Linked DNA regions of Drosophila melanogaster. The protein of the gene in region 2 interacts with the protein of the main gene of each other region in a pairwise test. Each region holds a gene or a part of one and is shown on either strand. Other genes may lie near its edges.

The links.
Region 1: the proteins of CG42553 (region 2) and mRpS30 interact in a two-hybrid assay, tested with the Drosophila melanogaster proteins (one large-scale study listed by BioGRID).

Annotation. Positions count from the first base shown.
Region 1 is NC_004354.4:15,784,041-15,788,924, reverse strand, and holds mRpS30 (mitochondrial ribosomal protein S30), read right to left. Parts: upstream 2,879-4,884; 5' UTR 2,754-2,878; coding exon 2,296-2,753; intron 2,132-2,295; coding exon 916-2,131; 3' UTR 637-915; downstream 1-636. Other genes in the region: Paf-AHalpha (Platelet-activating factor acetylhydrolase alpha), read left to right, coding at 3,865-4,260, 4,329-4,610.
Region 2 is NT_037436.4:832,258-836,241, reverse strand, and holds CG42553 (uncharacterized protein), read right to left. Parts: upstream 2,150-3,984; 5' UTR 2,066-2,149; coding exon 1,907-2,065; intron 1,851-1,906; coding exon 1,524-1,850; intron 1,464-1,523; coding exon 912-1,463; intron 856-911; coding exon 778-855; 3' UTR 727-777; downstream 1-726. Other genes in the region: CG42554 (uncharacterized protein), read right to left, coding at 1-306, 372-395; Sf3b3 (splicing factor 3b subunit 3), read left to right, coding at 3,302-3,527, 3,835-3,984.

The DNA.
Region 1 (4,884 bases), on a different chromosome or scaffold from region 2:
TCCGAACCACCGTAAAGTCTCAAACTGGTTATTTACTCGAGCCTAACTATTCAGATCCAGTGTGACCGTCGCACGGCCGTTATAACATACCATACGGTTAGCTGGGACGTTACCGAAATAACCAACAAGTGGTAACTTTTTCAGCAATCCTAACTTTGATGTAGTGGACTATAAAGCTATTATCGTAAATGTAAAACTACTATAATAAATGGGATAATAAAATAATCAAGTAATTAATTAATGCATACATATTACCAGACTAAGTAAGAGTTTGAAGTGTACTTATATGGAATATCATATAAACCTTAGTGCACTATTATGTTCAAACAATATATGATTTGGTAAAAAGATTTAAACTACACTATAGCATTATAAACCTTTTTTACGTTCGAAAAATATGGTTCTGGTGCAGTGTAACCGCATTTTACCCACTTTTTGAGATAACTTCGGTATGTTTGCAGTGCTGATAAATGAAATAAACAATGGAATCTAGAATAAATATGTGCTGCATAAACAATTAAATAATGATAAGAAGCATTGCATTGGCAAGTTTTAGCATCATCAGCACTAATAATTGGCAAAATTCCAGGTATTTGTATAATCATATCTATTTGAAAGAATTTAAGATAAAAAAGACTAGCTTATAAATTTACAGAAGTGTTTAACCACAAGCATAACAAAGTTAATAAATATATATACTTTGTATGGCATAGAATTTAAATTGAAATTTAACAAAATATTTATATTAAAAATCATTAACATACTGACAAAAGTTTGCGGAAAATTGAGTTAATCAAAGTTTAAAGAAACTTTGTACACCGTTTCGTTGCTCCGAATCTGCAATCCAGTATTTCACATTAAAAATTCAGCATTTTTAACAAGTGTAACCTTAGGAAGTGTTTTATATTTATTCATTTAAGGGTAGTACGTCTTCTTGAACCTGTTCTTATTCTTAGGGACGTCTGGTCGGACCGCACGTGGAACATACTCCTTGTCATGTGTGTCCAGCGTTCGCTGCCAAGGATTGATGTCCAGCTCGAAGAAGCGTCTCTTAGCCTCCATGGCACGATTGTTGTTATCGATCTTGTATAGCTTCTCCCACAGGTAGATTTCGGGCAGCTCCAAGTGTCGCGGTCGGTTTGATGCCAAATATTTGAAGGTCTTATTGATAAAGTCACGCTGTTCGGCGTTCTCATAGGCGGAAACGTCGGAGGCAACATACGGCTGCTGCTCCCCAATGCTCCGCTGAATCGATGGCGCATTGGCATAGAAATTGAGCAGGTGCCGCAGTGCGTTATCGTTGAAATCAACGCACTTGCCGCTTGCCGAAATCTCGGCGTACAGTGGAAGTGGCTTTGTACCGCGACAGAAGTTGACACGGGGATTTTCCGCCACGTTTGTGCCGTGCAGCAGCAGCGTATTAAGCTGATACTCATAAAAGCTCCATTCCCTGCCGTTCGTGATCACAGTTTGAGTGTTCATGGGATAGGTCAGTTCGTTGTAGGTGTTGAAGCCATTGTAGTTCGCCTGGGCCAAAAGCCAGGCGTATGACGATTTAATCGCCAGCGAATGCAATGCCTCCAGCTGATCCTGCTCGCCGAACGATTTCGGACGGATCTGCAGGTGTGCACGCGATTGAAATGAGAGCAGGCCGAAGTTATTCTCATTTCCTTTGGGCCAATAGCCTGGCACATTGGTGGCGTGCTGATGCTTGGTGCTGTAGCCGAGGGTTCGCGGGTCGTGCTTGAAACGGGGCAGCTGTTTGCTCAGCTCGAGGTTTTCGCTTTCCGCTTCCGTTTTCCACGGCGTCAATTGCTTGCGATGGCGTAGGGCAAGATACGGCGCTCCCGTATACTGAACCATCCGATCAACGCTCTCGTTTGCCATATCCTTTTGCCATTCCCGGCCCTTCTTCGATTTCTGCACGTTCTTGGGAGGATCTACGCCGCCAACGGCCCAGAACGCTTCGTGGCGTGGATTGTAGTCGACATCGAGCTCATCCAGGTGCTTGTACTCCTCGCTGAGCGACTGCAGCAGAGCTCTGTTCAGCTGTTCTACAATGATCTGCGTTAGGATGCGCTCACGTTCAACGGGGTTCGATTCGGCAGAGTTGTGTTGCTTTTCCAGATGCCTACGCTTGGTAATGGAGGAGAATGAATACATTAATATCAGACGGTCGAACTTGTAACTGGGACCACTCCAACCAATCCGAGTTCTTAAGTGAGTTGGACCAACTACTGTCCACAAACTCGCCGGAGAACTTGGTTCGTTGAAAGCGGACCTCGTTGTACCCACTTGTAGTAGTCGTGGGCAAACTCGAGGGCATCAATAACATCCCCGCGAGCCGCCTTGAAAAGACCATCCACGCTCGGCTGCTCCTGCTCCTGCTCGGAGTCCTTAGCCTGTGCCTTCTTATCCGTTTCAGATGGCAAATCCTCGAGCACTGTGCGCGTATAATGTTGCGTGAGCGGCAGTGCATTGTAGGGGATTTTCGAGTCGTTGAAGTCGACCACCTTGAAGCCGTAATAGCGGGGCATATTGATCTTGATCATCTTCTCCTCCACCGTCGGCACCTGCCGGATTTCCTCGTGCCAGTTGGCCGCATCCTTCTGCTTGCGCGCCTTGAAGGACAGATCCTGAATCTCCGGATATGCCGGCTCTGCGTCCGTACTATTCAGCTGCAGCTGCGACTGGCCGGACAAACAGCGCTTGTACGTCGTTCGCAGATGGCGAACACGGTTAAGCTTCAACATGCCGTCGAACCTAACGCAAGTTACGATTTATGTTTTCGAAGGAATAGAATTGACTTCAGTTTTTTGACAATAACTAGGTTATGTCATTGCTGCAGTGTGACCGCACGCTGGATTCAGAATAGGTTGCGCCAAGGTAGCGACGGAAAGTTTTGCGATGCCAGTGAAAGTAATGGTATAATTTCTATTTATGCAGTTCAATAATAATTCATAATGAATCATAGTCCTTTACTATTTAACGTGTAGGGGTACAAAATTTAACTTGCTTATGTTTCAAATCTTTTTATTTCTGAAATCAGTTATAAATCATCGTAATATTTTTTAAGCTGTCTAGAAAAAGCTAAAAAATAGTCTTGTTTCATTTGGTATATTTTCCCCTTGAAATAATGGCATATGGCTTAAAGGCACATGCCTTAAAAATCACAATTGTAAACTTAAATCAACAGAGATCAAAATAATTAACAGACTTCTCTGCGATAACGCTTTTGACAATTTTGAATAAAATGCACGTTACAAACAGTAACATATGTGACCGTGTAACGTTTTCGATAACGTATCCCACATCTTTTTCAGCTGTGCCAAGTGCAACATTGCTAGACAACACTTTCCAGCCCTGGAAAAATACCAAGACATCTACCATCTCTCTAAAAACGAAAACATAAACGCTTACCAAGAAAATCGTAGATTTTCTACACCAAATTAAAATAAACTTATAAAAATTTTCAACCTTAAATCCTTGGCAATTTCCATGTACACGAGGGTGGCCACATAATTCTACGACATTTACGGATGTTAATGTTGAGGTAACCTAAAACACAAAAAAAAAAAAACAAAAAAAAAATCTTCGCCATAAAAACGATTTATTAAAGTAAACAACGGTACGGAGTTGTTTATGCTAGCGACTATCAGTTCAATTGTTTGTCCACGACTGCAACGCTGTCACTGCAAGCCGAGCAGAACGCCCAAGTATCCGGTAAGACTAAGCCGCAGACGATGCCTCATTCATCCGCATGCTGAAACTGCAACTGAATCGAAATCGAAATAGGAATAGGAATCGGAATCTTTAACTAAAACTCAATATTGGTCTGCAACTGAGTCTGAGCACGCCGACGAAATGAATCCCTGTGTGCTGCCCACCCCATTGCCCGATCTGGATGGCGACAAGCGTTGGCACAGCATACATCGCCGGTTCATCTCCGATTGCCGCGAAAAGGATCCGGATGTGATATTCCTCGGCGACTGCATCTTCGAGACCGTCCAGGACACGGAGGCCTGGAATAAGTACTTTGCGCCGCTGCACTGCCTTAACTTCAGCATTCGCGACGACTGCACCGAGCACGTACTGTGGCGCATCGAAAACGGTGCGCTGGACAATGTGAATCCCAAAATCGTCGTCCTCCATGTGGGCACCAATAATGTGCGGAACAGCGCGGAGGAAGTGGCCGAGGGTGTGCTCGCGAACGTAACGAAAATCCGGCAAAAGCTGCCCAACGCCTATATCGTTTTGCCCGTAAGTACAATAGTTGTGGTATTAGCCAGCCGCAGTAAATCATCGACATTCCCATCTCTCCCTTGCAGTCGCTACTGCCGCGTGGCCAGCAGCCCAATAAGTTGCGCGAAAAGAATGCCAAAATCAACGAGGTGGTCAATGGATTGACCAAGGGCTTGTATCGCGTCCAGACGGTGGCCATTGACAAGGGTTTGGTCCAGACCGACGGCAGTATCAGTCATCACGATATGTTCGACTATAAAAATCTAACCAATGCTGGAGCGAAAAAGATATTAGAACCACTCTACGATCTGCTTTCTCAAATTCTCAACGAAAACGAACCTGAAAACGATCTCACCCCCTCCGAATAAAAGGAATATCCAGCAGCTATCCATTATATATATACATACATGCATACATACACACATACATATACCACAAACAATTCCCAGAATATAACTTAAAACCAGAAATGTATTTTTTGAAATCTCATAAGCTATAGAGCTGCGAGACTAACTCACAATTAAGCATACATTTTTCGTATCGAATAGTAAACCATCGCATATACCATTGCATTATGATATTATTTTACATTGTATTTATAAGAAAAGAAAAAAAACCGAAATGACTGTCATTGGGTAAAAT
Region 2 (3,984 bases):
AGCGGATCCTCCTGCGCCTCCACTTGCTCCGGCTTCTGGTCGCAGGGGCAGCATGGGACTGGTTTCCTTCAAGGGAGCATAATCCTTCAGCTTGTTCAGACCATGCTGCGTCTTTCGCATCTCAATTTGACGCAGTTTGCGCTGAAAATCGAGGGTCAATGTGTCCAGAACTTCCTTGGATTTGGGCAGAGCCACCCGTTTTTGGGCATCCTGCATGTAGATTAGGGATGTTTCCAGCGCTTTAATGGCCTCCTCATAGCGGTGATTGCGTATAAATCGCTCCGACCTTCGCTCGTGGAAATGAGCCTTTGATTTGGGTAGGTAATTCCATTTAAAACCATGTAAATTCGATGTTTTCTTCGGGTTCTTACCAAGTTCAGTGGTGCGCAGTCCATGTTTTTGACTGTTTTCCCGTCCTGATTTGAAATTATATGATTGCTCTTGTAACGTTGAAATTGCCAGGCACCTAAATTTTAATAATTATATTCCCAATTGCAATATTGCCTGTTTTATGCAAGCAAAATGTCGTCTATTTTTTTGCAAGAACGCAGTTTCCAAAATTTCACTTTTGTTTACATATGTTTTATGCGCGAGGTGTGGCAGCTCTGTCATGACAACAATCGATAAGAGTCGTATGTATCGTTTCGAATTTTTAAAAACCAATCGAATTCAAATTTGAAGGATCTTTATTTAATAATTATAACAACTTTGTGTAGAGCAGTTTTTGAAAAAAAATCACATAAAATTTATTTGAATAGCCTTAACGCTTATTGGTTTTTAAAGCGGTCTTCCTGTTGCCTGCTTACCTTCGGTAAGTGCAACTGAAGCGTGTACAAAAACAGGCACATTGATACCCTGTAAAGCACAGACATTAAAGACAGGACAAAATCACATTTTCCATTCATGCATACCTGCATCTTAGCTGATCTCACAAAGGCCTTATTCGAAGTCACAGTGAAAATTTGCCTGGCCATGCCGAAACTAAAGATTTTCAGACTTCGCTCGTTTACGTTGGCAGTGAAACGTATGTGGGAGAATTCTTCGGGTATTGTTTCCACATCCGGATAAACGGTGACCCGTTTCATCAGTTCCTCGGCTCGCTTCCGTTCGCCCTCGCCGCCTACAATATCCAAAATACTCTGGAAGGCATCGTAGGCTAACTGGCAGCAGACCAAGGTTTTTCCCTCTAGGATTTTCTCGAGGAGCGGTTTTAGCGGCGAGGCTCTTTCCCTTTCCGCCTGTTCGGTGAGCAGAGGTTCCTTGTAGACCCAATTGGCGGATCCGTTGGTGAGCGCACTAACGTAGGCCAGCAATGTGGTCACATCTAGATTCAGTTCGTTCGACGTCGTGGCGTACATATCCAAGTCGGTGTCTGGTGAGTCCAGGGAAGCAGTTTGTACGCCCATTTCCATTAGCTCTTCATGCAGGGAGTCCTCGATTTTGTTGGAGAAGTAGAATACTATCTAAAAGGCAGTATATCAGATGATGAATGCTGTCTAGGGTAGCATACTATTAGGCATTACCTTCGGCCTCTGGAACATGCAGAAACTAAGTTCGCTGGCCTCCAGATAATCCTCCGCCTGGTCGATGACACTTCGGGCTCCGATGCTGACACATCCCCTGGCCGCGTCCTCGACGGACTTCGAGTTCCTGGCTATCACCTTCACCCACTTGAGTCCATTGTTGGCCACGATGTCGACTCTCAGGGGACTATCCCTAGACTCCAGGCGGAATACGGCATTGATGTCGACTACTCCTTGTTGCAAACGCAGAGTTTTAATGAGAAAATCGTAGTAAACAAAGTTACTGCTGGTTATGTGGTGTTCCTTTACGGACCTTGTAGTAATCACCTTGAAGGAAAATGCTTTTACTCAATGTTTTTATCATGAAAAATAGGCAAACAAACCTTATTTAGAAATTTGAGCTCTTGCTGAATTTTTCGCTGTACTTTGCTGACACCAGGCAAATCTTCGAAGTCTTTCAGCGCTTTCTTCAGCTCCTCGCCCAGTTTTACTTTCTTGTGGGCTTCTTCGTAGAGCTTTTCTCGATCCTCTTGCTCCTCCATATTAAAACGTTAGCAATATTTACAAAAATCACGAAATATTTGTTTTTAGCTGTCAGCTGTTTTGAAGAAGCAAAGATGCAATGACATTTCAGGTTTTACAACACTGACAATTCCATGACTGATTAGAGATGTCGCGAATCTGAAGTTGGTATATCGATAGTCAACAAACCTAGTTTACTAAGTAATAATTGATGATTTTTCTAATTAGTCTAATAACATGAGCCAACGCCGCGTAAAAATATACTCAAGTAGAGATCGAATAAACAGAAAAAAATAGTTGGGGACTGATCTATTTATTTTTTTTAAATACCTTTAAAGTTTTCTCCTTAATCATACCTTAATAGCATAGTATTGAGCCCAGCCCTTTAGCCACAATTCGGTGAGTGGTTTTGTTTTCATTTAAGCCCATGATAAAAATTTTTTAAGTTAAAGAAAGATAAAACGATTGATCCAGTACATATTTTTACAGATCCTTGAAATTTTCCATTTTTTCACAGAAAATTGCATATTATATGTTTAGCTTTTGAGGCAGTTTTTGGTATGTGGAACTGGGATTGGCCCATGGCAATTTCCGAATATTTAAATGTGGTATATTTAATAAAGGATAAATTCGATATATCTTGACCAGGATTTTTAGGAAACTTATGATTTCTGCAGCAACAATTTCCAGTAAAATAATTATTTAATTTATAATCAGTCTGAACCGGGCCTATTATCGATAGGAAAATCGACGGCCGCGCACTATCGATAAGTCAAGCCACATTTTATGCACCACCATTTTTACTTTTATAGTTCTTTTACTTTTTGTCGGCGAACAGAGCAGATGTGAAAATGAAGAGTTCTGAGTAATCAGGAAAATTCGAATCCAAAGGCATCGCTGGTGAAATGTGCTAATTCATCCATTTAACCAGCCGAAGGTAAACAAATACACGTGCTAGCACTGATATCTACTATTATTTAAGCGCTTTCCGCACGAAGTATCTCCAGAAATCAGAAATGTCTGTGCTTTGGTCGCATTTGAAGCGTGCTAAACTAAGAATTAAATGCTGCTTACTAGCATCGTTAGGCGACACGACTTTCCATACTGTGGCCATGGTTTTCAAAGTAGTACAAATTCACAAAAAAAAAAATACACCGCCATTCACGTGACTTTTTCCCTTGTCTGCAACTGTACCTAACCTCAACATTGCTTCTCTTGCAGTCGTGGACAAAAGTGAAAGAGTGTAGTGCTCCACCATGTATCTGTACAACCTGACCCTGCAGAAGGCCACCGGCGTGACCCACGCGGTCCACGGCAACTTCTCCGGCGGCAAGCAGCAGGAGGTCCTCCTGTCGCGTGGCAAGTCGCTGGAGCTACTGCGTCCGGACTCCAACACCGGCAAGGTGCACACCCTGCTCTCCACGGAGATATTCGGATGCGTTCGCGCCCTGATGGCCTTTCGACTGACGGGCGGCACTAAAGGTGAGTCTTTCAATTGTAATTTAGTTTTGTACCATCAATTGGGAGTAATGTATTGCTCCTATATAATCTATGTAAGTCGCACAAATCCCTATTGAGGCAACAGACGGCTAGTTGACCCCAGTAAGACCTTTGAACGCGTCTAAGTGCGAGAGAAACCGAAAGACTTGACGTCGCATTTGCCATAAACCAACTCAACGGAGTGGCGAATTGAAACTTCGAGTTACAAAGTCAATAAAATATCATTATAGTCATTAGAAAGTGTTAAATGTATGACCCTAATCTCGAATATCGTTACCTTGCTTTGCAGATTACATAGTTGTGGGCTCGGACTCGGGACGCATCGTGATCCTCGAGTACAATCCCTCCAAGAATGCTCTTGAAAAAGTGCACCAGGAGACGTTCGGAAAGTCGGGATGTCGCAGGATTGTGCCTGGGCAATACTTTGCCATCGATCCTA